Linked DNA regions of Oryctolagus cuniculus. The protein of the gene in region 2 purifies or fractionates together with the protein of the main gene of each other region. This does not show direct contact. Links are inferred from orthologs where the notes say so. Each region holds a gene or a part of one and is shown on either strand. Other genes may lie near its edges.

Region 1 (10,068 bases), on a different chromosome or scaffold from region 2:
TGGAGCAGCCGGGACCTGAACTGGTGCCCACGGGGGATGCCATGTATTGCACTGGCCCCCGGATCTAGTTTTCTATAAAGGTGCCTAGGAAAGCAGCAGCAGATGGCTCAGGTACTTGGGAGACCCAGATGGAGCTCCTGGTTCCTGGCTTTGGCCTGGCCCAGCCTGGTTCCTGCAGGCATTTGGGAAGTGAACCAGCAGACCAAAGATCTCTCTCTCTGTACCCTGCCTTTCTAATATATAAATAAATCTTAAAAGAGAGAGTCAAAAGTAAATAGCTCTATTTACATATACAGGTTTTTTTTAAAAGATTTATTTATTTATTTGAAAGGTGGAGTTACACCGAGAGAGAGAGGAAGAGAGACAGAAACAAAGAGACCTTCCATCTGCTGGTTCACTCCACAGGTGGCTGCAATGGCCAGAGCTGGGCCAGAGCCAGGAGCTTCTTCCGGATGCAGTTTTTAAATCAAGGTTTAGCAAAAGAGAAAAAACACCAAGAAGCTTACAGTACAGGACTACATAGAGTTTCGTAACGAATACCCACATTCCTAACCCTAGGAGGCAGCCAGGCGGTAACTTGGGCAGCTGGCTCCCTGCTCACAAACACGGAGACCTGGACTGAGCCCCTGGCCCCTGGCGTCGGCCTGGCACAGCCCTGGCTACTGCAGGCGTCTGGAGCGTGAACCAGCAGCAGTGAGCCGACAGATGGGGGCTCTGTCTCTTAAAGAACAAAACAAAAACAACCCATAGGAAGCAATGCTATGTGTTTTTCCAGAATACACAGGTTCCCAAACCAATCAGAAGACAAGGAGTCAGAAAAGTACAAACCTTCACATACATACTACAGCGGGTGGCTAACAGGTGAGAACGGGCTCAGCAAACCTTTTCTTAAAGGGACAGACCCATCCTTAGGCTGTGAGGCAGCACAGGTCTAGGGCAACTACTCGGCTCTGTGGCTGTCACAATAAAGCACCCCGTGGGCATGGCTGTCTTCCAGACCATACTCACGAACACAGGGCTCAGGCCAGGCTGCAGGCTGCCAAGCCCTGGAGAAACAGACACGCTCAGGAAGAGAATAAAGGGTGAAGATTTTAGTAACGAGAGGCCTTGCCTGGAGCAATGACAGAAGGGTCCCTGACGAGTTCGCAGCTCAATCCTTTACCACTAAGAGGCAACCAAGGAAAGAAAGAAAGAAACGGGTACCTTGTGGTTGTTCTCATTGTCTTCCACACTTACCTCCTTGCTGTCTGTCACAGGAACCCACTTAAATATCCTAAGGGATGTGTCACCCACAGTCACCCACTTTTTCTCCCTAAAAGAAAGACACTTCTCAGAACTAATAAAACAAAAACATACATTTTCTGTTCATTGCTTATGTTTCTCTAGTCTTAGCCAATCAGTCCTTCCACCTGGAACGCCCCCTGACGTCCCTCTCCACGGAGAGACCCCTCACCTCACGGCGCAACCTCGTCCCTTCCAGAGACTTCCCTATCAGATGCGTCCGGTGCTGAGCCCTGTCCCCGTCACCTGTCCTCAGGAGCCCGGACCTCGGCCGTACACAACTCAGGGCATTGCCAGCTCAGCAACTGACCTGGCATCACCCTTCTTTTCCAAACATTGAGTCCACCCCACGGCTATGTAGAAAGTGCTATTCCAGAAGGCCCTGCAGGAGACACAAGATGCTGAAGACATGGTCTCTACCTTCCTCCCTGGGAGCTCGTAAGAGATGGAAACACTAAGGAACATCACCGCCTACCATGGGGGCGGCGAGGACATCAAGGAGGCTGAAAGACAAGGCCAGGCGAGGCTCAACTATGGAGGGGCACCCTTGTGACTTCTGTAGCACAGACAGCAAAGGTGGCAGCGTGGCGCCACCCACGACATCAGCACCCCGTAGCGGAGCCCTGACTTGAATCTCTACCTGCTCTACTTCTGACCCAGCTTCCTGCTAACATGCCTGGGAAGGTAACAGAGGACGGCCCAAGTGCTTGGGCCCCTGCCACCCACAAGGGAGACCTGGATGAGTACATGCCCCTGGCTTTGGTCTGGCCCAGCCCCAGCTGTTGTGCCCATTTGGGGAGTGAACCAGCAGATGGAAGATCGATCTCTCAGTCTGTCACTCTGCCTTTCAAGTAAATCAATAAATAAATCTTTTAAAAACAGTAATAATAATCCCAGAAGCAAGACAGGATGCTTCTGGCTAACAGAAGTAGGCCTCACACTGGCTCTCAAAGGAGCTTTGGGGTTTTATTTTACAGAGAAGGCAACTTTCAGATATGCCACGAGCCCCCTTTCCCCAGCACATACCTGGGCAAAGGAGAGGAACATTCTAGAATACGGGAGACTATGGACAGGCAGAGGATGCAGTGTCTGAAGCTGTGTCTGGTAATAGCAAGCAGCCCCTCGGTGGGAGATGAGGCTGGAGGGGTTTGAGGCTACTCTGCAAAGGGATTGAGCAACCTACACACACACATGCACACACACTCCTTTTTGTTACCATGTGTGCTTTTCTTCTCCCCAGAGTGAGGACTCATTTGGCCTGGAACCTTCCCTGAAGCCCGGGGAAAAGCCCTGCAACCATCAACCAACTGCCGAGCTCATCTCCCAGAAACCGTTTATGGATCAAACCGTGACCGGAGGCCGTCGGCGGGTTTCAGCACGGCGGCTGAGACGCCTGCAGCCCCATCAGCGCACCTCGGCCAGTCCCTGGCTCTGGCTGGCACCTATGCAGACCCTGGCTGTGGTAACGGGCACTGCCACCCATGTGGGGGACCAGACTGCGTTCAGCTCCCGGTTTCTGCCCGGCCCAGGCCTGGCCACTGTGGGCATTTGGGTTGTGAACCAGTGGGCAGGAGTCCATTCTCTAACAAGTCTTAACACTAAAAAAACAAAATAGGCAGGGCCAGCACTGTGGCATAATGGGTAAAGCTGCTGCCTGCAGTGCCGGCATCCCATATGGGCACCAGTTCAAGTCCTGGCTGCTCCACTTCCGATCCAGCTCTCTGCTATGGCCTGGGAAAGCAGTAGAAGACAGCCCAAGTGCTTGGGCCCCTGCACCTGTGTGGGAGACCTGAAGGAAGCTCCTGGCTCCGGATCATCACAGCACCAGCCATTGCATGCATCTGGGCCACCTGGGGAGTGAATAAGCAGATGGAAGACCTCTCTCTCTCTCTCTCTCTCTGCCTCTCTGTAACTCAGCCTTTCAAATAAATAAAATAAATCTTAAAAAAAAAAAAAAAAAAAGAAAGAAAGAACAGAAAGCTCAGAAAGAATCGTTTTAAAAAAATAAAATAAGGCACTCAAAACAGCAATTCTAAGCTCTCTGTAGGCACAGGCCCCTTCTTGCATGCTCCTTATTAAATGATGTCACATGTGTGCCTCTGATAATGTTTTTGTCTCATCAGCTTATTTACCAAATTAGAATCTCAGTAAAGATAACAAACTATGTAGCACATCTTCAAAAATCCCTATTATTCCATTACCACTAAACATATAGACAAGCAGAAATAAACTTAGGGCAAATTTTTTTAATTAAAGCAAAAATTTAAAAAGAAGGTTCTGGTCATTTTAGTGTTAATCTCTTAAGTCACTCTGGTCATGGACTGGCTGCCCTGTTCTGCTTCCATATAAAGATTCCTCCAAGGGAGAAAGGACCACGGGGGACACACACAGACAGACAGACACAGACACACACACACACACACACTCTCTCTGCTGGGTGGGAGCGGCAGGCGTGGACCCGGCCTTGGGATCCCTTGCTGTTCTGCCTTACCAAGACTGCCTAAGGAGACAGCTAATCTGAAGAAATGTTCAGATTTCAACCTTCAAGTTCAAAGCTCTGGAGAAATCCTCATCACTCACAAAACAAGCAACGGCTCAAGACCAGGCCAAGGGCTTGCTCAAGACCACGAGGGCCTGACAACATGAGCTAGACCCAGCGAAAGGAAATCAGGCCCGTCCTAAACTCAACACAGAGCAACACGCTCGACCTGCTCTGAAGGGCTGCCAGCCAGTGTGTGTGCAGGTGGGAGCTGGCTTTCCAAGAAGTTGCCTCTCGGGGCTGGCGCTGTGGCGTAGAGGGTAAAGCCCCAGCCTGCAGCACTGGCATCCCGTATGGGCGCCGGTTCGAGTCCCGGCTGCTCCAATTCTGAGCCAGCTCTCTGCTGTGGTCTGGGAAAGCAGTGGAAGATGGCCCAAGTGCTTGGACCCCGGAACCCGCGTGGGAGACCTGGAAGAAGCTCCTGGCTTCAGATCGGCGCAGCTCCGGCTGTTGCGGCCAATTGGGGAGTGAACCAGGGATGGAAGACCTCTCTCTCTCTCTAACTCTGCCCATCAAATAATGTAATTAATTTTAAAAAAAGAAAGAAGTTACTTCTCTAAGACTGCTTAGTACTTGCTGTCAGCCCGAGCAAGAACCAAATGCAGGGAGCTGATGTCTCGCGGACCTGAACCGCTTTGCAAAGTTTCAAGGCCAAATCTGAAGTTTATACTAAATAAACACATAAAAGTCACTACTGTCACAGCTGCTATGAAGCAAATAATGCCATCAGGAAATGCAGAGAGGTGACGATGGACTGGAAACAACGAGCTAAAAAAGGCTCAGGGGGCACCGGTTCCCGACCGGTCCGCTCCGTTTCCTCATCTGCTGACCACGTATTCAGTATCGAAGACCCTCGTCTAGGAAGGCAGGGAACGAGACGCACGGCCCCTTCCCTCCCAGGGCCCGCATTCCAGCCGCAAGCGGACCTGGACAACTCAGTCAGCGCTAGCCGTCCCAGCGGACACTTCTGGCTTTCGGCGCGGTGACCGGAAGCCAACGGAGAGCGAGCGAGAAGGCCCTTCCGGCCTGCGGGGAGGGGAACGCATAGCCAGGCCCACACGGGAGCCCCCGGGCTCCTACCTACTGCTGGCTAGCTAGAGGAACAGGCTCCGGGAGCTTCCGGAGCTTCACCTGCGACTTCAGGGGGCGTTAGGGGAAAGAGGCAGGTTTCCTTTCCGATGACCACCACGCCTGCTCCCGCGGCAGGTGGAATTACCGGGAGAACTCTCAGATTTCGACTGTGTTATGTGGAGCGCTCAGCCGGGCCGACCGAAGCCACTCGGGGGATGGCTGGCTCCTAATCAGGGGGAGGACAGCACGGGGAGACAGCAGCAGCGGCACCAGCCCGGGACTCTGAGCCAGGACCCGCAGGCCCAGCGCCGGCCCGAAGTCCGCAGCCATCCCCGGGCCGCGCGCGACCGCGGCAGTGGGCGGGGCAGCCAGCCGGGCGGCCCGCTGATTGGCCCCGGTCGGCGCTGCCCTCTGACCTCACGCCGACGCCGGCGCGCCCTCCGCCCGCCCTCTCCCTCCCCCTCCCCCTCCGGAGCCGGCCGGCCGGCTCCCACCCAGCCTGCCGGACTGGCGCTCCTCGGGGCCTGGGCCCGCAACACACGCGCGCGCGCGCGCGCGGGCACCCTCGGCTCCCGCCCTCACCATTTCCGCACTTTCTCGATGGCCGCCATCACCTTCTTGATGTCGTCCTTGGCCCGGCTGCGGGTCTCGGCCCTGACCGACCGGCCCGACATGGCGGCGGCGGGAGCGGCGGGGGGCCGGGGCACTGCTCCCAAGACGCGCGGAGAATCGCGCGCGCCTCACACGCGCCGCCGCCACCGCCACCGCCACCGCCGCCGAAGCCGCAGCGTCACCGCGGCCGTCGCCCCCTCCGTGCGCGCGTGCGCGAGGAGGCGCGCGCACCCGCCCGCCCCTTGGGACGCGAGCCCTCAGCGCGCCTGCGCGCCCCGCCCCGGGCGGCCCTCCCGACCCCCGGGCATGGGTGCCCCGGGCCTGGGCGCGCCGAGCAGGCTGCACGTGCTGCGGGCAGGGCAAGGTGCGAGGCGCTGCCGGTACAGTGGGCGGGGTGTCCGCTTCTGCCCAGGGGCATTGAAGGTCCGCGCCCTTGCACTGCGTCCAGAGAAGCTGGGAGCCTGGCCCCGGTGGGACCTGAGTGTCCGCCCCCCCCCCCCCAGGACTCCCACTGGGCTCCAACGGCGGGGAGTTTGACACCTGTCTGGGGTGTGCCTGCTGTTCTTGGTGCTCACCCGAGGAACTGGCTGCTCGCTCTTCCAGAATCCGGTTCAAACTCCAGCCTCCCGGGGTACCCTAGGGTCCCCGTGTTCGTTCTTAGCACGATTCCACTGCCACCATTTAATGCAGCGGTCACTGGTTTCAGCGATGATGCCTTGGGAGGTTTTGGTTTTGTTTTTTCAAGATTTGAAAGACACAGAAAAGGGAGAGAGAGATCCTCCATTCACTGGTTCTCTTTCCCCCTAACGCCTGCAACTCCCAGGGCTGGGCCAGGTTGACTCCCAGAGCCGGGAACTCAATCCAGGTCTCCCGCGGTTGTGGCAGAGGCCCAAATTCTGAGCCATCCTCCCAGCTTGTGCATCCCAGGAGTGCCCCAGGCAGTCGGACCGGGGTGTGGGCATCTCAGGCAGCTTAGCCCGCTGCCCCGGAACACCACCCACGATGTGTTTTTGCTTTCAAAGAGCTTGGAGTTCAGTAGAACATGCAGACCAGGAAACAAGTATTTAAGATGCCATTTGATGAACACTAGGTTAAAAGAGACAACAAAGTGACCTAGAAAAAGTGCCCTTGAAGCTGATCTCTGCAAACAGGGCAGTCGCTAATGCCTCAAGGCCTCACTGCCTACAGACTCTCTAAACACTGCCCCCACCCACCTGCCAGCAGTCACGCATTCGTGCCCACGGGATGGAGGGAGGGTCCTGTGGCCGCAGCTCCTGGGGACGGCAGGAAGCAGTTCTCTAGGGAGATTTCTCTCTAGGGAGAGAAAGGCCCAGCGAACTTTGGACACAACAGAGCCTGGGACTGTGCCCATCTGACCAGTACCAAGACTTGACAAGCACACGCCCTTCTGTATTGGGGGGGGGGGGCACCAGGAACAGCTTCTGCTTGACTTTGGTGGTGGTGGGGGGGGAGAATGAGTTGAGAAATAATAGGATCACAAAGAGGACACATCTGTTTCTGAAACCCAGCTCATGCACAATAACCCAAGCACCGCTGGTGCACCTGCTGTTTGCCCTACAGCAGTGGACACATTGAGTGAGGCAGACACACTGCTTGCCCTTGGGGTGAAGATGAGGAAGGCAGCAGGGAAACCCAAGACAGAACAAGTGCCACGAGCGATGCTGGCTCTCGACAATTCCACAATTTGACTCACAGGGCCCCCAATTCAGGCCCCGAGTCCAACAGCCAACACCTGGAGGTGATGGCTGATTTGTCTCCCATCCATGACCAAGTCCCAGCCAGCCTCCTCCTGAGATTTTTTTCTTATTTATTTGAGTTACAGAGAGAGAGAGAGAGTTCTTCCCTCCACTAGTTCATTCCCCAAATGACCACAAACGGTCCAGGCTGAGCCAGGCCAAAGCCTGGAACCTGGAACTCCATTAGGGTCTCCCACCTGGATGGCAGGGGGCCCAAGCACTTGGGACCATCTTCTGCTGCTTTCCCAGGCACTTTAGCAGAGCTGGATCAGAAGTGGAGCCCGCAGGACTCGAACTGGGGCTCATGTAGAATGCTGGCATCGCAGGCAGCAGCTTGATGCACTGTGCCACCACACTGGCCCCCAGCCTGAGGTTTGTTGCCTGTTAACTTACTGCCCCTCCCAAATGCACTTGCCCTGGTGTCCACCGTGCTCATCAGCCACCTTTCTTGGGCCACCCCTGCCCCAACTCCGAAGATGCCCAGTTCCTCGCATTTGTCCATGTGGCCCTGCGTTCCTCAGCTCATCTCACGCTGGAGCTCACTCTCTCTGTAAGTGACCAAAGTGCTGATGGGAACCCACCAGCTACTCCCTACAGGCTATGCAGGGGGCATTCTGTTGATACCCTTCTAAAAACTCACACCTGGCCAGGGCAAGGCCACACCAAAGCCAGGAACCTCAAACCCAATCCATGTGTCCCATGTGGGTGGCAGGGGGCCAAGTACTTGAGCCACCCCCTGCTGAATCTAAAGTACAGAGTAGCCACCCACGGCTAGAACCAGGCACTCTTGACAGGGAATGCAGGGGTTCCAAGCACACAACTCCCATGCCAGAGCTCTGTCTTTAAAGATTTGAGTTAAAGAGGAGAGGCACAGGCAGAGAGAGAGAACTTCCATCCAATGGTTCACTCCCCAAATGTCCACAATGGTTAGAGCTGGGTCAGGCCAAAGCCAAGTAGCCAGGAGCACCTGGATCTCCCACGCGGGTGCAGGGGCCCAAGGACCTGGGCCATCTTCCACTGTTTTCCCAGCTGCATTAGCAGGGAGCTGGATCAGAAGTGCATCAGCCAGGACTCAAACTGGCACCCATGTCATTTTGGGATGCCGCCATTGCTGGTGGCAGCTTAACCCGCAGCCACAGCGCTGGCCCCAGGAGACTGAGTCTTAGGCAGGCAGGACAGGGTCTTCCTAGTGGTTTCCATGCCACACACATACGCACTGCCTGAACTTGGGCCTGTAGGGACTTGGGCCATATTCTGCTGGTTTCCGAGGCCATAGCAGAGAGCTGGATCGGAAGTGGAGCAGCTGGGACTTGAACTGGTGCCCATATGGGATAACCCACTGAGCTACAGTGCCAGCCTGTTTTCAATTTTTGATGCCTGATCTAGATTATGTAAACAGTAGGTGCCTGATCTAGATTATGTAATCAGTAGGTGTTAAGATGCCCACGTCCCCCATCAGCGTGCCTGGGTTCAGTTCCTAGCTTCCTGTCCATGCAGACCCTGGGAGGCAGCAGCGACAGCTCAAGTAACCGGGTTCCCGCCCCCCATACTGGAGACCTGGATGGGGTTCCTGGCTCCGAGCTCCATCACAGGCATTTGGGGGAAGTAAACCAGCAGTTGGGAGCTGTTTCTCTGAGTGTCCAAAATAAATAAATCCCCAACTTCTACTGAAAATTTTCAAACTCACTGGAGTTGAAATAGCATTATAAAAATACCAATGCTGCCACCACACTCTCAAGTATTTTTATCAAGAAGCAAAAAACAAAACAAAACGTAAACCACAGAAAGCCCCAGCAGCTGCTGCGCCCACTCCCCCCCCCCACCACGGGCCCAAGGGCAGCTTTCCGTCCCGGAGGTCTGCAGTCACCTTTCCCTGCTGTCTCCATGCATCGCATCAGAAACTCACGAGGCGAGGTGAGGTAGGAAGAACAGAATTTATTCCCATTTTACAAACAAGGAAACAAACTCAGAGCCGGCGTGACCCGCCTGCGCCAGGTCTCCCACCAGCCGACGGCAGGACTGAAGACTCCTGCCTTCAGCGACAACATCCCACAGTCGCTCCCTCTCCGGGCTGTGAGACGGGAGAGTGACCCCAGAGCTGCTTCTAAGAACAGGGGGGCCATGGGGCTTTAGCCTCACGCTTTGGACAACAGTACGCTATTCACAGGCCCCGTGTGCACAGATACCTTAGTCGGTCAGATGTGTGTTACCAGGAGCCTAAAGCAGAGACTGGCAGTATGAAGACACACGGAGAGGAAACCAGTCTCCGTCCTGTGGCCCTGGCTCGAGTTCAACATTGATTGAGTGCTTACGCTGTCCCAGGTACCACCGCGCTTGGGACACGGAACCAAGGAGCTGGGATCCTGCCCTGGTGGGGGGGGGGGGGGTCACACACGCACGTCCCAGGGGGGGTGCCTCAACAACCCAGGGGCTGGTCTGAAGGATGAGACCCGGCCCACACTGGAGTTCTTTTTTTTTTTTCAAATAAGTTGCCAACTTCTAGCTTCTCAGAAACAAGTGACGTCTGTTAGATCCCCGGCCCCTCCCCCCGCCGAGGACGCCCGCGCTCTGGCTCACCGCAGTCCCCACCATTTCTAACTGTCTTATGGGCAGGCGGCAGGGGGCCTACCACGCGTTTATGCTACCTCCTTGACGGAAGCAAGCACTGGCGCCGCAGACACGTATCCAAACAAGAGCATTTCAGAGAGCGAACGCTGCAGATACGGCGGACAGGGAGTGCAAAGGCCGCGACGTAATTGGTGAAAAGGGCTACTTCAGATGGGGTGGTCAGGAGAGCTGGGTCGTGCG
Region 2 (9,607 bases):
GAACACATGTGTGTACTCTACCTTCTCAGCTGGGATGAATACCCCCAGCACTGCGGGGCACACATCCTCTGACCTTTCTGCCTACAGCCACCACCGTTATGTTCAAACCTTGGAAGGCCAGGAGGAACCAGAGGAGACAGCATCTGACCCAGGACTTGAGGGGAAGGTGAGTGAGGGCAAGAGCAGAGGCCTGAGAGCATGCAGGGACACATCAGAGGAGCAGGGTGGGAAGGGCAGGCGCTGGACCATGGACCAGTCCAAGAAGTATCTCTGTCATCAAGCGCCAGGCCCTTTGGGTTACCCAGTCTCACGGAGAGGATGGAACTGGATGTCCACGTTTTGCTTCTGTGGCTTGAATGTGGTCTGTCCCACCAGAGCGCAGGTTGAGGCTTTGGCCCCAGTGCAGCAGTGTTGGAAGGAGGCTGCAGTGGGAGATGTTTGGGCCCTGGGGATAGAGCCTCACGCATGAGTTAATGCCTTGCTCCCATAGGTCTTCACTCTCACGGGGCTGGTTTAGTTACCCGAGACTAGAAAGCAGCTCTACCCCCATTTTGTCTCACACATGTCCACTTGCCCTCTACTTTCTGCCCTGAGCCAAAGCAGTACGAGGGCCTCATCAGAAACCACCACAGGGGCCAGTGCTGTGGCATAGCAGATAAAGCCCCCACCTGTGGTGCTGGCATCCCATATGAGCACCGCTTTAAGCATGGCTGCTCCATTTCTGATCCAGCTCCCTGCTAATGCTCCTGAGAAAGCAGTAGAAGATGGCCAAGTACTTAGGCCCCTGCACCCATGTGGGAGACCTGGAAGAAGCTCTTGGCTCCTGATCAGCCAGACTCTAGCAGTTGCAGCCATTTAGGGAGTGAATCAGTGGATGAAAGACTTTTCCCTCTCTGCCTCTCTATAACTCTGCCTTTCAAATAAATAAATAAATCTTTAAAAAAATAAATTTAAAAAAACCATGACGATGCCACAGTGCAACCTTGGACTTCCCAGCTTCCAGAACCATGGGCCCAAACAAACCTCTTTATAAATAATTACAGTCTCAGGTATTGTGTTACAGCAACAGAAAATGGACTAAGACATAGGCTCAGAACCAGGACTGACCCCAGATCCACATCCAAAACTACATGAGTCTCCTAGCAGAGCCTGATGCCCACCTACCATTCATGTTCCAGGTGAAGGCGTCCCGCAGCTTCTGCCCGTCAATCTCCATGTCCAGGCGGATGGGGACGAGCACCTCAGGCTGGGATGCGTTCTCGTGGATCACAGCTGGGTCGTGGTCATCAAAGCTGAAAGTGGAACAGCAGCCATCATTAGTGAGGGCGTCACGATCCCTGTACCCAGGGCTCCAGGGGAGTGAACTGCCAGCCTCCCTCTCTGTACAGGGAGTCACTGCGAACCTGGCTGGAAGAAAAGAGGCTGCTTCTCACACGCACCTGTCAACCAATGGCCACCAGGGGTCTGGAGGCCATGGTCTCATGGGGACAGAAGGGGCCATGATGCCAAGCGCCAGACTGCTGGTGGCAAGTGCTTCACCAGGGCAGAGCTGACTGTTTCAAGGATGCTCAGGGAAGGGAAGGAAGCTGCTGCCCTGGGCAACAGAACAAGACCCAGAAATGCGTCAGAGGTGGGTTTTGGGCCCACAGCAGGCAGGACATTAGCAGAAAGCTGTGAGAAAGCAGGAGAGCATTTGCAGAGAGGAAATACTTGAGCAAAGGCTGAGAGGCAGGAGAGCGGAGGAGCTGAGGGAATGGCAATCAAACGACTGAGAGCAGAGGGTAGATCCCATGGTGGTGGGGGATGGAGGAGATGGGACTGTAAGGCCAGTGGGTATCCCAGAGCTGATGGCTCCCCATCTCAGGCTGCAGAGACTGGGCTCCATCCTGCAGCTCAGGAGGACAACCCGTGAGGGAATTCCATGGTTTAGGAAGACAAAGAGGAAGAGATGACGCAGGCAAGCAGGGGAGACCCGGGCACCTGAAGAACATGGAGAGGGCTGAGATCTGCCTTGCCCTTAGAGTCTGGCAAACAGATAACAAACCAACAGGGAAGGGAAAACACACCTGGTGCCAGGTGCAACTGCACTGAGAAGTGAGGATGGCAGGGGGGTTACAGGTGCGGAGACAGGAGTGGCCTTCTAAAGGGGGAGGTGAGTGACACCCGAAAGGAGATGGGAGAGAGGGAAGATGGGGCAAGCCATGGAGACGGCGACAAGAAGTGAGCTCCAGCAGAGGGTGCAGGGCTACAGCTCCGTCAGTGTGAGGTGTGACCAAAGCGAGGAGGCTGCCATGCGTAAGGTGGAGTGAGTATGGTGGGGCTTGCATGCCCGCAGCCCCAGGAGAAGCCTGGCTTTGGCTCTGAATGTGCTGGCAAAGCTGGAGGATTCTGTGTGGAGCAGCTGGCTCTGCCCAGGGTGAGGACACCCACACTGCCTGCCAGGCTGAGGATGCGGTGGCGACACATGGCTGAGGCTGCTGCCAATACGTAGCCAGGGTTGGTGGGGAGCTGGCCAAGGCAAGGTCCAGGCCTGGATTGTCAAAGGACTTTTTAGGAAGGGGCTGAGAGAGAGAGAGAGAGAGAGAGAGAGAGAGGGAGAAAGAGGCCCAGGCTTTTGGCCTGGGCGAGGAGCAGAATCCCAAGCCGAGTCAGCAGGCAGCAAGCATGAGGCCAAGGAGGTAAGGGTGGCGGCTGGGGCAGGCCTGGGTTACAGAAGGGAGGGTAGAGGCGGAAGTCTGAGAATGGCCCCAGAAGTGCTGGCATCCTAGCCCCTGAAACCTATGACCACAGCTTCCTATGGCCTAAAACAGGCCTGTGCAGGTGTGATTAAGTGACGGGTCCTCAGAGATGATCCCACATACCATCCCAGGGTCTTGGAGACAGAGGATTTCAATCACTTGGGGGCATGTGCCAGGGAAGAAGCCAGCAGCATGATGCGGCCACAGCTGAGGGACACTGCAGCCACCAGAGCTGAAGAGGCAAGGATGGGACTTGCCCTGGAGCTTTCGGAGGGAGCGCAGCACTGTTCAGACCTTACGTTCAGCCCAGTGAAGCTGACTTGGGATTCCTGGCCCCCAGAACTGCAGGAGAAGCGGTGTGTCCTGCTGAGAGCCACCTGCTTTGCAGGGGCCCATTCCAGCAGCCCCGAGGAAGTGACACAGTGGCAGTTACATGGATGGCCTTTAAACGGAGGGCAGAGTGAAGGCCCCAGAACTGCACCCCAGGAACACGACTTGAGTGGCTAGGAAATGGGAGAACAACAATGAGACACTGATGCAGGTGGAGCGGGGCAGCTGGGGAAGCCAGAGAGCAGCAGTGTCTGAAGACACCCAAGGAGACAGTGTTTCCAAGGAAGAGCAGGAGGCAGCAGTGCAGTGTTTTGGGGAACCCAAGGTCCTGCTGGGAAGGGGCGAGACGAAATGTGCTGGGCCCGGGCGGAATCTGTGCAGGCTCACCAGAGGGGGAAGGTTCTCTTCTTGTCCCGGCCCATGCGGTTCCTGTTGATGGTGGTGGAGCACGGCACGGCGTCCAGGTGGTGGGAGCTGTTGGGCAGGGTGGGCACCCACTGGCTGTTCCTCTTGGCCTTCTGTTCCCTGCGGAGATGTGGCAACAGGGAAAAGAGAGCCATCACTACTCTGGGAAGGAGGCACCCCAGCGAGGGGGCTGGGGTGGAGACAGAGAGGTTCCCGAACATGAGCCTCACATGCTCCCCGAGGATCTGACTTTCCTCGGCAGGTGGCTGGCAGTCTCCGAGGGGTCGGAAGGGAGATGTGAGCATACTGTATGGCCAGCGTCAGGAACCACCGGCTCAGCTCAGACAGCTCAGACGATGGGGATCCGAGCTTGCTGACCCAGTTCTCAGCCCCTGCCCAAATTAGGTCCATGTTCTCATTTTTCCAGGTCTTGGGTGTGAGGTGAAGACTAATCACAGGATCAGAGCAAGACCTGCAGAACAGGAGACTTGCTCTAGTGCCCACTAAAATGGTTACCGTAAATCCCTTCTGTCCTCATCCACAATTGAGGGGTGGTGTTAAGTGGCCTCAACTTTAGAAAAATAAAAGAACTAATGGGCCCAAGGCTAGGGCAGACCCTGGCCTGTGCCTCTGTCCTCCACCATAAATTTACTTAGATTTTAACCCTACCTCTGGGGTAGGACCCAGGAATGTGCATTCTTTACAACGTCCATGGAAGATGCCAGGGCAGTGGAGTTTATGTGGAAACCCCAGCTCTCGACCGCTCCTCTTTCGTGCCTGCCTGGACGTCCTCCTGGAGGCTGCATGGAGGCCCACTCCCTAACCCCGACTCCTGCCCTATCTCAAAGCAGTCCCTCTCTCATCTCTCCCAAGCCCTCTTGTCCGGCAGCTAGCTCAGGTGGGCAGTGTCAATCATATCACAGCTCACAGGCACAGCTGACATGAACCACATCCTCACATGAGCACAGAATCCCAGGACCTGAATTAAGAAAAGTCAACATTCCTTCTGCAGCAAGAGCCTCCTAAGACCCCCGAGAAGGGGCATCCAGCCTCTGCCCGAGTAGTTCCACAATGGACGAGAAGGCTGCCAGGCCCCCGGTAGGGCTAACAGGGCAGCCAGAAGCCAGCTCAAGGTGCTATCCTCCAACCTGTGCCCCCTCCTGCGTCCCCACCTCCAGGGATCAGGATTCCCCTGCCTCAGCTGGTCTTCATGTGACCCGATCATCAAGAAGCTGTTTACCACCCCATAAAAGGATCCAAGCTGACACATGCAAACTTGAAAGTGCTATCCATATGCAGCTAATTTCCTTCCACGACTTCCCCCGAGGGTCTAGGCCTCCTTGTGTTCTCGCCACATCCCCAGGGGAACGAGAATCTGCAGTGCACACGTCTAGTGTGCCGGCCGGGCTGGCGACAAGCCACTTTTCCTGGGCGAGTCATAAAAACAATCCCCAGGCGGAGTTGAAAGAGAAGCTGGCAAGAAATTATTTCCACAACCACGTCACTGCCAACAGTAACCCTTCCCCTCCCTCAGCGCTCCCTGGCTCGTGTGCGTACAAAAGCCCACTTTCTTGCGTGATGAAAGCATACAATACAGTCTTATATACCACCTGCCTGAGGCGGCTACAGAAGCTACTCAATGATAACACAGCAAAGAACTTCAAGCAGTTCCTGGAGAATGGATTAGAAAGGTAAATGTATTTGTGGTGTTTTGAAATCCATGCATTGTTTTTTCATAATACCCATTTTCCAGGAACTTTCCAAAGACCTCATATGTAAGGGTTTGCCTTGAGGTGGTGGTGGTGGTGCTGTAGTGTAACAGGTTAAGCAGCCACCTGCAGCACCAGCATCCCATATGGGCACCAATTCATGACCCGACTGCTCCACTTCCGATCCAGGTCCCTGCTAATGTGCCTGGGAAAGCAGCACAAAATGGCCCAAGAGCTTGGGAGACCTGGAAGAAGCCCAGCTCTAGCTACTGTAGCCATTTGGGGAGTGAACCAGCAGATGAAGATCCTTGTCTCTTGTGGGGAGCAATCCGGACCAGACTGAGTTACTCGAATTAGGACTTATTCTATGCATCTGCTCTCCCACAATATGGCGCTGGGAGAGAAGTAAACAGCTTCCGCACAGCTGCCTCCAGTTCAACCAATTAACTGTAGGACTTGCTCCTGATTGGAGAGCAGCGTACTCAGCCGAGTTGGGATTGGCGGAGGAGGACTATAAAGGAGGAGAGAGACGGCATGCACCAGGAACATCTATGGGGAACATCTAAAGGGAACCCGTGCAGCCCCCGAGAAAGCTGGCCGGCGGTGTGCCGCTCCCCTGCGGAAGTGGGGAATGCGGCCAGGGGGAACTGCCCTTCCACGGAGGTGGAAGGGATAGTAGCCAACCCGGGAAGAACCAGCAGCAAACCCGGGGAGGGCCGAGCGGACAAAAGAACAACACAGGGTCCTGTGTCGTTCCTCCACGAAGAGGGGGAGCGACATAATGGTGCCGTGACTTGGATAGGAAACCTAACTCGGTTAGGAAACCTAGCTCGGATAGGAAACCTAGGATGGATAGAAAACTTAGGAGGGAAGAAACGTGACTCGGATAGGAAACTTAGGACGGATACGAAACTCAGGAGGGAAGAAACGGGAAGAACTGGGAAAATATCGGAGAGAGAAACTAGCAAACAGCCTAGGGAAATTACCGGAGAGAGAGACTAGCAAACAGCCTAGGGAAAAGCCGGACGAAAAGGGTGCCGGAAGAAGCTATTGAAAGCCTAGGCATAGACTCGGATACGGACTACGGGGGGAAGCTGGGAGAAATCTCTAAGGTCGAAAGCGAAAGTGAAAGCTAGAACAAACAGACTCGGACGCGGACTGTGGGGAGAGGCCAGGAGAAATGAGGGAGGAATATCGTTGGAGGAAAGCTTGGGGAAACATACCGGGTAGAGAAAAATGTTAGGGAAATTGAAGCCGCGGGGGGCAGGCCAAGGCGGAAACGAAAGCCACTTTGGGATTCTCAAGTTAGCCCGGGAATAGGGGGCGAAAAGTTAAAACCAGAAGCTGAGACGTAAGCCAGATTGGGATCCGTCTGATTAGCCCGGGGAGCAAAGGACGGGAAGCCAGATCGTGGGGCGGAGACGTACGCTGGGTTGAATTCGCCAGGCTAGCCCGGGGAACTTAGATTGAATCCTAGTGGCGGAGACGCAAGCTACGCTGTGTTACTCGCGGAAGCCGCCGCGTGCAGAGAGAGCACGGGGCGTGAATAGATAGGGAACGCTGGCGTAGGCCGTGGTTCAGACGCGAAAGGGTTAAGCGTGGAGACCGCGGACCGCGCAAAGCCGGGAAGCCGCGCAGAGAGGCGCGCGGGCTGAAGCGGCGCAGAGCCGGGAACCCGCCGGCGGGGCGAGGTGCCGGAAAGCCGCAGGGATAAGAGAAACAGAAGTTTGGAAGTGAAGTAAAAGAGAAATGGGAATGCTGGAAGATAGAAGTGAAATGGGAGAGGTAGGAATGCCCGGAGATAGAGAAATAGAGAAAAATAAGGCCTCCCCTCAACATGCCAATTAGAAGGCTTGGATTCGGTCTGCCTGATTTAAGGCGGTAAGCGCCAGCAAAGCTCGACCAGAGTATGAGCTGCAGGTCACCGAAGATAGGCACGAACCAACACTAATAAGTCTCCCCCACAATAAGGCAATGAGAAGGCTTGGATTCGGTTTGCCTGATAGGTTTTGTAAACACCTGCAGGCAGTTCTAGCAGAGCAGAGCATGCGCTGCAGGGCACCGAACACAGGCACGCATCAGCGCCTAAAAACCTCCTCACAATGGCGAAGAGAGGACCCGGATTCGGTTTTCCTGATTGATAGGACTTGTAAGAGCCTGTGGCGGCTCTAGCAAGTAGAGCAGAGTGTGTGCCGCGGGACACCGAGGACAGGCGCGTATCAACGATAAAAAATAAAAAGAAAGGGGGATCTGTGGGGAGCAATCCGGACCAGACTGAGTTACTCGAATTAGGACTTATTCTATGCATCTGCTCTCCCACAATATGGCGCTGGGAGAGAAGTAAACAGCTTCCGCACAGCTGCCTCCAGTTCAACTAATAAACTGTAGGACTTGCTCCTGATTGGAGAGCAGCGTACTCAGCCGAGTTGGGATTGGCGGAGGAGGACTGTAAAGGAGGAGAGAGACGGCATGCACCAGGAACATCTATGGGGAACATCTAAAGGGAACCCGTGCAGCCCCCGAGAAAGCTGGCCGGCGGTGTGCCGCTCCCCTGCGGAAGTGGGGAATGCGGCCAGGGGGAACTGCCCTTCCACGGAGGTGGAAGGGATAGTAGCCAACCCGGGAAGAACCAGCAGCAAACCCGGGGAGGGCCGAGCAGACGAAAGAACAGCGCAGGGTCCTGTGTTGCTCCTCCACGAAGAGGGGGAGCGACATAATGGTGCCGTGACTCGGATATGAAGCCTAGGCAGGGTTTAGTGTCGTTCCCCCATGAAGACGGGGAGCGACAGTCTCTCCCTCTCTCTGTTAACTTTGTTCTTCAAATAAATAAATAAATCTTTTTTTAAAATGAAATTAATGAGCTAGAGAACAAAAAATATTTGATGTCATACTGCTTTACAAAAACTCAACCATCTAGAGAGCTAACTCCAATTCTTCACACAGTGTTTTTGTTGTTGTGACTGTGAATGCTAAAATTGACAAAGACAAGCATTCTTCCCGCATTTGCTTACTCCTCAGACATACTTCTGGAGGTGGGTCATCATTTATTTACTCATCTATTAGGGTATCAACAGATGAATCTGAATGTGGGTGGGCACTGTGGCACAGAGGGTTAAGCTGCTGCTTGGGACGCCTGGACCCCATATCAAAGTTGCCGGCTTGATTCCCAGCTACTTCACTTCTGATTTAGCTATTATTAATTAATAATATGCACCTGGGTTGGCCGGAGCACTTGAGCAATGTCACCTATGTGGGATACTCAGGAGATGCTCCTAGCTCCTACCTTTGGCCAGGCCCAACAGACCTGTCTGTTGCAGGCATTTGGAGAGTGACCCAGCAGGTGACAAAATCTCTTGCTGTCTGTCTGTCTATCTATCTATCTCTTCCTCTCCGTCATTTTGCCTTTCAAATAAATAAGTAAAATCTTTAAAGTGAAATGAACCTGAATGTATAGGCTTGAGATAGTTCGTAACAACCCAATTACCTGCCTTTTCAATTTTCACTGCAAAGACTCTCTTAAAGCTTCCGAGTTTTTTACACATTCAACCCTACTGCTGTTTCTTCTGAGAGCTGATCTGAGTCAATACGTTTTCTAACAATTCTGTCCCATTGTCGAATCTCTACTCTCAAGGCATTCCTAACCCGTCTCCAGGATTCAGAAGAAACTTAGAAACCCGGCTAACAACATCTATAAAATGCTGGAAAGTATTTCAGTTCCACTTCACACCAAACAATTCATAAGCACAAGAAAACACCCTGCGGGTGTCCGGGGCACGGCCGGCCAGGAGAGCGTTACCTGAGGTAGGTGGGGGGCTCCGTGCTGATGGACACAGCCTTGTACTTCTCATCGTTGCCGTCCAGGATCTCTTCCACCTCTGAGGCTTTTAGCAGAGTCACGCTGGTAGCAAGGGTCGTATACCCATGATCTGTAAGCAGAGAGCAGTGCTGCGGTCACCCTGCTGGTGGCAGGCGCAAGCAGCAGCCAGCCAACTGGATCCAGCACATCAAGGTCCTCACATGCGGGAGGTGGGAAAAGCAAGGTGTCAAACTTACTACTGCCGAATGCTGGCCTCTTCCAAAAGGGCAATCTGGCCTGAGCGCTTTAGTTAGCGGTCCTCCTGCACACAGGCTCCGTGGACACTGATTTGGACTACTCTGCTGCCAGGGCGCTGGCTCAGCGCACAGGAAGTGTTCAGGGCAGCGGTGGCGGCGGCGGCGGCAGCAGCAGCCGCAGCTCCAGCACGGCACAGCCAATGGGGACTCTAGACTGCAGGACATGTGCTCTTGGTCCCCTCTCAGGAGGGGGAGGGAAGGCCCCAAAGGAACACCCCATTGGGAAGAGGTCTGACACCACTGTGATCCACAACAACACGAAGCAAGGGAGGGTGATGGAATGAGGGATGAAGACGCCTTTTCTTTTAAAAC
Region 3 (10,406 bases), on a different chromosome or scaffold from region 2:
GAAGTTTGTTTTAATCACATTTCACTGATACAAAAATGCAGAGGGGCCATTTTATCTACCCACCATTAATGAAACAAAAAGCAACAATTTGTCTACCATTTGTGCTCCCCAAGAAATACCCTCTAAAAAAGAGATAATTTAAAGAGGCAGAAGATGAGGAATCCCAAAAATAAGAAATACTTAAATTTCTGCTATGAAGATCTGAAAAAAATGTTTTCTCTAAGATAAAAGCAAAAATACAGTACTGGATTAAAAAAAAAAAAACTTTTTGTGTGTACTCCTCTCTGAGAGCCAAGTATGGAAATTAAAAGGATAAGCTCAATCCTTCTGTGGAGGGCCATAATGTAGATTCTCTCATTATGATTCTTTCTGTAGAGAAGAAATAACAGATCTGTAGAACTTAAGTCTTTCTCCAAAGCTAGTGTTTGCAGGAGCTGAATTATAAAACCAAGTAATCTCTCACTTTTCAGCCTATAAAAACTACACTATAATAGATACATATACCCTTAAAAGGAAATACAAATAATAATGCCTTTACTTCTTGTATAAAAGGTTAATAAGAGACAGGTATATTTCAGAAATCTCTTTTAAAAAAAAAGATTTATACATAGAGAGGAGGAGAGGCAGAGGGAAAGACAGAGGTCTTCCATCTGCTGGTTCATTCCTCTATTGGCCGCAATGCCCGCAGCTGCAACAATCCAAAGCCAGGACCCAGGAGTTTTTCCAGGTCTCCCACAGCGGTGCAGGAGCTTGGGCCATCTTCTACTGCTTTCCCAGGCCACAGCAGAGAGCTGGATTGGAAGTAGAGTAGCCAGGACTTGAACCAGCGCCCATATGGGTTGCTGGCACCGCAGGCGGCAACTTTACCTGCTACACCACAGTGCTGGCCCCTCTCAGAAGTCTCTTAAAATCTGTCACATCAGGGTGCTTTGTGTTTGAATGTTTTTAAGATGGGCAGCTGCATAAATGATGGTTAAGAACATAAACTGATTTAAATCCCACCTTTGCCTTAAGCAGGTGGTTATACACAATTTGTTGACTATTCTCTAAAACCCCTAGAATTACACCCATTCTTAAAACTGGATCCTTTGGTGTCGAGATTTTTAAAAATAGAAAGTCTAAAGGCAACTGTTGCCACCATCTAAGTATCTAATAGATTTGAACACACAGAAAACTTAGCACTGTTTAGGAAAAGTATTTCAAAGTACTATTATGTTTTGAAAATATATCTAAAGAACATTGCTAGTAACCACCTGTTACTGACAGAAAAATTTCTGGAAGTCAATAAGCCAATAATTCAACTTGTTAACAGGTTGAATTATGTATCCAGATCTTTGGTAAACACAATAAAGGCCATCAACAGGGTCTAACTTCGGAAGTTTATATTTTTAAGATAAAACTGACATGCAAGAAAGTTACAAAGACAGACTTACGATTTCTAAGAACAACAAAGTTTAAAGAGGAAAAAAAGATGACAGGATGACTATAAACTAGAAAATAAGTTTGGTGAGACCGAGCTAGTCTTGAAGAATAAAGATTCAGACTGCTAAAAATGGAGAAGGGCATTCCTGATGAAAAGTAAGCAAGCAAAAGTAACCCAAAAAAGGCATAATTTATATAGGAGACAGTGAAGAGATTAACTTTGGGTAACTCGGGAAATAAATTTCAATGGAGAGGGCACATAATTTATGAAAATCTGCCTGAGGAATTTAGAATTTCAATAATGAGTACTTAGAGTGCTGTTCTATAAATCTTGAAGTATTTAGTCATGTTTGACTCACAGTCAAAAAGGCATATGCCATATATTTCAATGAATTTTAAAAAACAAAAATGTTAACTTTTAAAAAGAGACTTAATTTTTGATAACAAATATTAAGACAGTTAAAGATGAAGTGATGTTGGGGCCAGCGTTGCAGCGTAGAGGGTAAAGCCGCCGCCTGCAGTGCTGGCATAGCATATGGGCGCCGGTTCTAGCCCCAGCTGCTCAACTCCCAATCCAGCTCTCTGCTATGGCCTGGGAGAGCAGTAGATGGCCCAAGTGCTTGACCCTTGCACCCACGTGGGAGACCCAGAAGAAGCTCCTGGCTCCAGGCTTCTGATCGGCGCAGCTCTGGCCATTGCGGCCAATTGTGGAGTGAACCAGTGGATGGAGAACCTCTCTCTCTTCCTCTCCTTCTCTGTGTAACTCTGACTTTCAAATAAATAAAAAAATCTTTTTAAAAAAATGAAGTGATGTAATTTTAGGATTTGCTTTTCTTTAAAATAGTGAGAAGGGGAAAAGTAGGTAACCTTAAGTTGACAATTATTGAGGTTTAATGTTAGAAGAGGGCTCATTATATTTTGGCTACCACTTTTTAGATACTTACTTAACATTTTCCATTTTTTAAACCAAGTTAGAGTGTTACTAAAAAACATGATGAATAATGACTATATTCTAATATTTTTATAGATTTGCTACAATCGCCTAAACATGATAAAAAAAAAAGAGTAATAGAATGAAACAAACTATTATGGTCTGCTAATCAAAGCTTTCAAACTAAGAATTAATTCAAGAAACTCCACTGGCTTCAGAGAAACCTTTATACCTGTAGTCTATTTGAACTCAAAATCCTTACACCACACTTAAAGTATTTATCACCTTTTATTACAAAAATACTGATTTAGATACTGCAAATCCCAAACAGATCAAATGAGTTACTAAAAAGAAAAATTAATGCCAATCTTAAACCTCTTTGCTCTATGGTTCCAGGTAGTGAAAAAGTAAACTTTGTGCAATGACAATGTTTAACACATGCTGGTACACAGCCCAACGGAAGTTAACAACCAGCAACACATGGCATTCAACCCACTCCCATCCACCCAGAATATATAGGACTATTCCATTTTTATTTCTGTCATCCACAAGCAGGTGGCAACCTAACACCAGCTTCAATAAAGCAAAGTTACCCCTCTTGCAAAACAGATGATTACTGCAATAAACCCTGAACTCTTGGAAGGGAAAAATTTTTTCACTGCAGCTAAGAGCGATTTTTGTAAAAGCAACTGTGATGTATCATTTCAGAGTGTGCAATTCTTGAATTTTGCCAATTATAACATTTATTAAGCCTGGCCCTGTGCTACCTTATCTAATTTCTCATTGTAACCTTATTGGATGAAGAAAGAAGCTTAAAAAGGTTAGGTTCCTTGCCAAAAATCCCACCAACAGGACACGTTGGACATATGATCTGAACCTATATTAATCAGAGCCCATAGCTATTTCATTATATTGCCTCCTAAAGAATTAAGCCAATCTGTGGTCACCAAAGTATATTATGGACATTAAGATGCTCATGTAAACTAAAATTTAAAGTAAGCATCAAATCTTAACGAAAACTTACAAAGGTGATTTCCTAAGTAAACTTCCTATTCAATAACATATACCCTCAAATAAATCATATTTCTCCATTTTACTGTATACCCCATGTCAGTTTTACAGCAAAAAAAAAAAGGTCAATTTTAGTTTCAAATGGCTTTCCTAATGTTGACTGAGACTATTCATGTTTTGCTAAATTTCTTCTGTAAATGAAAGTTTCCTATTGAGCTTGAAAGAAAAAGCAGTCATGTAATTATTTACAAAGTTAAGAGTTAAAATTAAAATATTGCTATCATGTTAAAACAAATTCAACCTTGCAGCAAAATGTTTATCATTATAAATCAAAGGGTCCTCAGAGAAGGCATGGATCAGGCCTCAACACTTTTCCAAATAGTCAAGGAAAGTTCAGGATACCATCTGGCTAACTAACTCCATTGCACATCTCATTTTAGTAAGGGGTTAAGGACCACCAATTTCAGAAAAGCTCTCTTCTGCAGATACCACCACCACCACCCCTTCCCCCAGGTTCACATGGACCACAACTTACTGACATTTTCTCTTCTGGCTTTAGTCAGTTCATACTTTCACACGACAGTCTTGAAGTAATATAAAAAATTCAGAAACATTCAACCATAGAGCCTGGCAACTTATTTCGCGAAGTACACCGGGACACACTTAAATGATGAAAATGTTTTTCTGCCACTAACAACCCTGTTTACAAGGGACAATTCACCCTAGACTCACCCAAAGACAAAAGGAAAATGAATGTAGTAATCCAAATGCCAACAGAAGTTCACTTGGGGTGTTTAAAAGGCCGGGGAGGTAACTCCATTGAAAGCCCTGAGTAGCAGTCAGGCAGCTTCGCTGCAAGTGTTGTGTGTGTAGGAAGTGACCCTGGTCTGAACTCCACGCTGAGCGCGTGAAACGCCAGCGAATTATCGATCTGCCGTGGGAATCCGGCCTCTCCAGTTCTTCCACTCGCCGCAGGAACCGAGCGCCGAAATCCTTGACCTACAGCCCCACGCGCTCGGGTCTGGTCGCCTCGGCCCCCACCCGCTTCACCTGAACCGCTGACGTAGGTAAGCGCTTCTTTGAATAATCCCACCCTGACAGATGGACAGAGCACCGCACATTAACCGCTGCGATGCCGTGACCCGGAGCCCTCGCCATCCTTGAGATCGCCCAAACTCCAGTGCCGACTGCTCGAGACGTCCAACCCCATTCTCTGAGACTGGAGCGCCAGCGATGGTTTCCTTTGGCGCGCGCACACACACACACACCCCTCATTCTCCCCGATTTTCCTGCTCCACCTTTGGAGAAAGCGCCGACCCACCCACACAGGCACTATGGCTAGCCCCACTGCCCTAGGAGCTAGGAAGAGAGAGAGAGAGGAGGCGGGGGCTACACGTTGTGTGATGGTGGATCCCCCCACACCACCCCCCAAAGTTTCAAGTGCACGCCTCGTTCTGCAGCCTGAGCTTCCGGAGAGGTAAGAGAAGGAATGCAGGAAGAAAAGAAAAAAAAAAAAAAGGCGCGGGGGGCTCTGCAGACGGGATTGCCCCCCTTCCTCCCCTCCCCCCACGGATCGGCCCCGCAGATTCCACCCCCTCCCCCGCGACCACCACCACCCCCACCGCGGGCCGCGAACAAAGCGGCGGCCGGGACGCCCGCCCCCCCCCGGGGGGGCCCGCCACTCACCACCCAGGTCAGCGCCCCGCCGCCCGCGCCGGCTCCAGCGCCGCCGCCGCCGCCCGACTTGGCCATGGCGGGCGCCTCCCGCTCACAGGCCCCGAAGCCGCGGCCGCCGCTCCCGCCTCCCTGCGGGCCGCTGGGCCCCGCCGCTCCGCACCGACCGCTCCGCTCGCCGGGCTCCTAGCCGCGCCGGCCCCAGCGCCCCATCGCCGAGACCCGGAGCGGACGTGCGGCCGAGCCCGCCGAGGAGGCCGCGCCGCCAGCCGCCGTCAAACTCGAGGCGCGGCGGCCGCGTCGCTCGGGCCTAGCGCGGCGCCTGAGGAGGAGGCGGAGAGAAAGCGGGAAGCGGCCGGCCGCGGCGCTGCCTCTTCCGCGGGCCCCACAGCCAGCAGGGCCTAAGCCCGGAGGCTCGAGCTGCGCAAGGGCGCCCGGACGTGGCGGGGACGCAGGGGCGCCTTGTCCTCCTCGCTCTCCGCCAAGGCCACAGCTCCGGTCGCCGGAGTCCTCGGCGCGGTCGCCGCCACGGCCTCAAAGGCGGCGTCCGACAGCCGCGCTGCACTCTCGGCCTCTCCACACGCACACAGCGAGAGGGACAATAAACAGAGCCGTCGCCGCCACGGTCGCCTCCCTCTAGTCCGGCATAACACCGCACACACACATTCGCGCACCCGGGTGGGGAGGGCGGGCGGGCGCGGCGGCAGCCCCCGCTGTCCATCAACTCCCCGCCGTCCAATCGGAGCCTTGTCGCCACTACCTCTCGACCAATCCCAAAATTCCAAGCCCCCCGGAGGGGCGGGACCCCGAGGGGGAAACGTCATTGCGGGTAGCAACCGAAAGGCAGACTTGAGGTTTTTTTGTTTGTGTGTATGTGTGTGTATGTGTGTGTGTCTGCTGTGGGTTTCCATTTGAAGGGGCAGCAGGGGCTGCTGTCAGGGGTCATTTGAGGGCGGCCAAGGCAAAGGGGCGAAGTGGCCTCGAGGCGACGGTAATCCTCCGAGCGCGCTGTTTACTCCAACACCCGGCCCGGGCGCCCAGGCGTTTCTTTGCCAGGGGCCCGCTAGGGCTGGGGGTGGGGCAGAGGGTGGGGGTGGCAGGAGGAAGCCGGGGGGCGGGAGGGGGAGTGTCCCAGCGGGAAATTATTTTTAAAGAGCGGTTGTAAACCGCAAGCGAGACGTTGTAGGGCACTGGTGCAAGGAGGGCCCCGTGACCCCAGCCTCCCCAAGGCCTCACATGGACACTGCTGTAGAAAGACATGACTCAGACCACCTCCTCCCTCCCCCAAAAAAGGATATGGTCCCAAGAAAACTGCACAGAGAGACGCGCCGAGAGCGTTCCAGGAACAGAATGCGGGCCCGGGGGGCCCGGGGTGAGCGTTCTGTTTCTACTTGACCGTGCTCGCTTCTGAGCCATGCGGAGATGTCACTGTCACTTTTCTTTCTCCAAGACCTTTAAGAAGGGACGCTGCATTTCAGCTACATTCAGCGGAATTCTCAAACGCACACTGAGGAATAAATCTATTCGCATTTAAGCTTTCTAAGAACGAACATTTCCCGTATAGCAACACCAAAGCCTTTGGCACATGGAAGAAGGCGTCTCTTCGTCCTGCTCTTCAAGTGTAATTCCATTAAACCAGTATTTGTTGGACACACACCTGCACCCTATGCCAAGCTCTACAATGGGTTCAAAATGAGAACAGTGCCCGATCTCAAGTCATTGATAATCTGGCTTGTTAAGAGACTCCAAGGGCGTTATCCATAGCCAAAATTAGTACTTGAGGGCTTGAAGAGCTACCTAAGAGCTGTGAAAGGAGAGCTTTAGATCAAGTACTTCTGCTTTGTGAAAAGGTGTTATTTGTGACTGTCTCGTCCAACTGTTCACTTCCTCTCAAGGGAAAACCGAAGTGGCTCAGGTTACATCTTTCAACTGCATTCTGAGTCCAGAGGTGCGGAATTCTGAAACATGGAAATAAACCAAGTTTTTCTTAATTAGCTCTCTAGTGGCCATGAATTTTGGGGACTTTGGTTGAGAACAGTGGGACCTTTCTTTACCTTGAACTTGGGGTACAAGCTGTAAATCTGACCAGGGTCTATTCTGGGCTGAGAGCCTCACCAACTAGCATCCATTGCCTTGTAATGTAAGTTCCCCACACCTCAACGTGTGCCTTGTTACAATGAGGACTTTCACTCTTGCATTTACTGCGACTTTAACATCTACAAATTCATATATGTTTTATGTTTAAAAAGAGTTAAACAATTTTTAAGGTTGTGAGGTTTTCATGAAAACACGCATAGAAAAATCCAAGTCATAGTCTATATAGCTGTCTTTTTAAAACAATTTCAGTTTTCAAAGCTTTTCACCTTCAAATTTGGAATAGAATATTCAAAAGTCAAACAGGTTCATGAAAATTATGTCCCTGTCACTTGCCAAATGAGGCATTGACTTCTTTAGCCAAAGTATGAAGAAACCCTATAACAAATGTTCCTTCCTAACATTGACTTACCTAAAAGAATCACAAATAAATGAGATTGAATATACATGCAAATAAATTTTAAAACAGGCTTATGATGAATGGTAGATGAATACCTCGATGAGCGATATTCAAAAAGTTTGTGGAAAAGTGCCTATTATGAAAAACTATGGGGCATTGGTGCTGCGGCATAGCAGGTAAAGCTGCTACCTGCAGTGCTGGCATCCCATATGGGCACCGGTTTGAGTCCCAACTGCTCCACTTCCGATCCAGCTCTGCTATGGCCTGGGAGAGCATTGGAAGATGGCCCAGGTCCTTGGGCCCCTGCGCCCATGTGGAAGACCTGGAAGAAGCTCCTGTCTCCTGGCTTCATATCAGCTCAGTTCTGGCTGTTGCTGCCAATTGGGGAGTGAACCAGCAGGTTGAAGACCTCTCTCTCTCTCTACCTCTCCCTCTCTGTGTAGCTCTTTGAAATAACAGAATCTTAAAAAGAAAGAAATTATGCATGGTTTCATAAGTTTTCATGACAAAGTAAATCTTATAATTCCATTTCTCCACGAGTTTTTGAAAGTACTTTCACATCAGATTCTAAAAAAAGTTTGTGTGATAAAAAATTATTTTTACTTGAGCACCACTTTGCCTTCTGGGGTAATGGCAATTTTCATTTACAAAGGAATTATAGCAAGAATTGTCAAGTTAAGAAGCTTTGAAGGATGAGCACTTAGCCTAGTAATTAAGACACCTGCATCTCAATTTAAAGTACCAGTCCTGGCTCTGGCCTGGACTCAGCTTCCAGCTAATGCAGATTCCTGAAGATGGTGGTGATGAATCAAGTAATTGGGTGTCTGACACCTAAATGGGAGACCTGGATTGAGTTCCATCTTCAAACCACTGGTGGTTGTGAGCATATGAGAAATGAACCAGTGGACAGAAATAATCTTTCTCTGCCTCAAGCAATTTAAGATATTTTTTAAAAAGCTTCCAAATCAGATGTTTGTTTAAAGGTTCATTTATTCTGAAAGAGCAAATGAGAGATCTTCCATCCACCTTTTCACTACCCATATGGCTTCAATGGCCAGCACAAAGCCAGGAACTTCCTCTGGGTCTCTGCACATGAGTGGCAGGGAGTCAAACAGTTGGGCCATTTTCCACCACGTTTCCTAAACCGTTATCAGGAAGCTGGATCAGAAGTGAAGCAGCTAGGACACAAACCAGCACTCGTATGGGATGCCGACATTACAGGCTGCCTCATTACCTACTATGCCACAATGCCAGCTCCAGCTTTGTCTTCTTTTAGATTCAACTTTATTTGTATATGTATATATTTTGTTTAAAGTCTTCGTTTCTCCCATCCAAGTACTAACCAGACCCAACCCTGTTTAGCTTCTGAGATCAGACAAGATTGGGCACGTTCAGGATGGTATGACTGTCGACAAAAGGCTTCATCTCTATCCAATAGTAAGCATTAGCCATGTGAAAAACTGGATAACTCAGATTTCTATAAGCTGCACAAATAAAGGCCTTTAATCAAACTTTCTATGTAACTTCCATAGGACCTCATCCTAACTACTTCAAAATTTATTTTTAGGTCTATGTTTTTAAAATTGCATATTTCTCTTTTAAAAAAATATTTTTTTGAGAGGAAGAAAGAGACAACAGGAGAGCTGCATCCACGAGTTCACTCCTTAAATGCCCACCATGGCAAGGGCTGATCCACCTAAAGGCAGGGGCCAGGAATCCAATCGCTGGAGCCATCCCTGGTGACTCCCAGGGTCTGTACTGGTGGGATCTGCAGTCAGCTCAAGCTAAGCTTCAAACTCAGACCCTCAGATACAGGACACAGGTGTCTTAACCACTAAGCCCAATGCCTGCTTTGCCGGCTTCCCTGCCCCACGCAAGAAATATTTAATCAAATATATATTCTGTTAGGTACTGAGTATCTGGAAACTTTAAAAGGTGATGAAGATGCAGTCTCTGCCTTGAGTTTACGCTAGTGTAGGTTAGAGCTAACCCTTTAGGTCTATTAAACAGCGAATGAATGAATTGCTTTTAAACAGTTTACTTAATGAGTCACATCTACCATTGCACTTTATACCCAGCAGATAATCTATTCAATAAATGAAAACGTAAGATGGCACATCACAACTATACTGCCAGGTATCTAGCAATGTTTCAACAGGATTTCTGCTTAAATCACATGTTACCGTCATATTGAAACTCATTTGGAGAAATAAGGGAATAATGTTTAACCTAGTAAGCATTTACAGTTAATACTTGAATTTAAAATGTAGTGTCTTATCTCTTTCTCCTGATGTTGGCATATATATATAATGTATATATATATGCAATGTATATAAAGTTGCCAGCATAAAACCTCACAAAAGATGAGAAAACCCAATAACAATTTGTCCACTGGTGACTATTAAATGTACAAATTTAATTTAGCTTATTGTATTTCTTTAGAAGGGACTTCAAGGCTTTAAAGTTTATCAATGTAGATTTTTGGTTTTCTGCATATCTATAGTAAACATTATAATAGCTTGACTGATTTTTGGACCACTTAGTTGCCTTACATGTTTTATAATTACATTTTTACTTCTAAAAAAATACTTAAACACCAAAGGTAACAAGTGTTTGTGAATACCTGAAGATAACAATGATGATTATATTCCTGAGTATCATTACCAATGGTAAGATAGACAAAAACTAAGGGGAGACGTGGGAGTCTTTTCTGATTGGCTTTTACCAAGTAATCTATACTTATCCTCTGATAATGTTCTATTTTGTTACACAGACAAGGGAGACTTGCACTTATTTTACATTATACACATCAGTAATAGTTTAGGGATCTTAACTGCTCTGGTCAATTATGTAACAGAATACAATTAACATTTG

Evidence for each region. The genes of interacting proteins can lie anywhere in the genome.
Region 1: the proteins of SMARCB1 (region 2) and BCL7B purify together in Homo sapiens (affinity purification with mass spectrometry; 6 studies listed by BioGRID and IntAct, with this or other methods). This does not show direct contact. The link is inferred for Oryctolagus cuniculus from reciprocal best matches to the Homo sapiens genes SMARCB1 and BCL7B.
Region 3: the proteins of SMARCB1 (region 2) and TOP2B fractionate together in Homo sapiens (co-fractionation; 3 studies listed by BioGRID, with this or other methods). This does not show direct contact. The link is inferred for Oryctolagus cuniculus from reciprocal best matches to the Homo sapiens genes SMARCB1 and TOP2B.

The regions. Positions count from the first base shown.
Region 1 is NC_091450.1:50,471,082-50,481,149, reverse strand, and holds the start of BCL7B (B-cell CLL/lymphoma 7 protein family member B), read right to left. Parts: upstream 5,715-10,068; 5' UTR 5,566-5,714; coding exon 5,474-5,565; intron 1,313-5,473; coding exon 1,237-1,312; intron 1-1,236. UniProt on the Homo sapiens protein: Positive regulator of apoptosis. Plays a role in the Wnt signaling pathway, negatively regulating the expression of Wnt signaling components CTNNB1 and HMGA1.
Region 2 is NC_091452.1:30,731,709-30,741,315, reverse strand, and holds part of SMARCB1 (SWI/SNF-related matrix-associated actin-dependent regulator of chromatin subfamily B member 1), read right to left. Parts: intron 9,109-9,607; coding exon 8,979-9,108; intron 3,594-8,978; coding exon 3,456-3,593; intron 1,293-3,455; coding exon 1,165-1,292; intron 1-1,164.
Region 3 is NC_091435.1:161,754,285-161,764,690, forward strand, and holds the start of TOP2B (DNA topoisomerase 2-beta), read right to left. Parts: upstream 5,715-10,406; 5' UTR 5,117-5,714; coding exon 5,051-5,116; intron 1-5,050. UniProt on the Homo sapiens protein: Key decatenating enzyme that alters DNA topology by binding to two double-stranded DNA molecules, generating a double-stranded break in one of the strands, passing the intact strand through the broken strand, and religating the broken strand.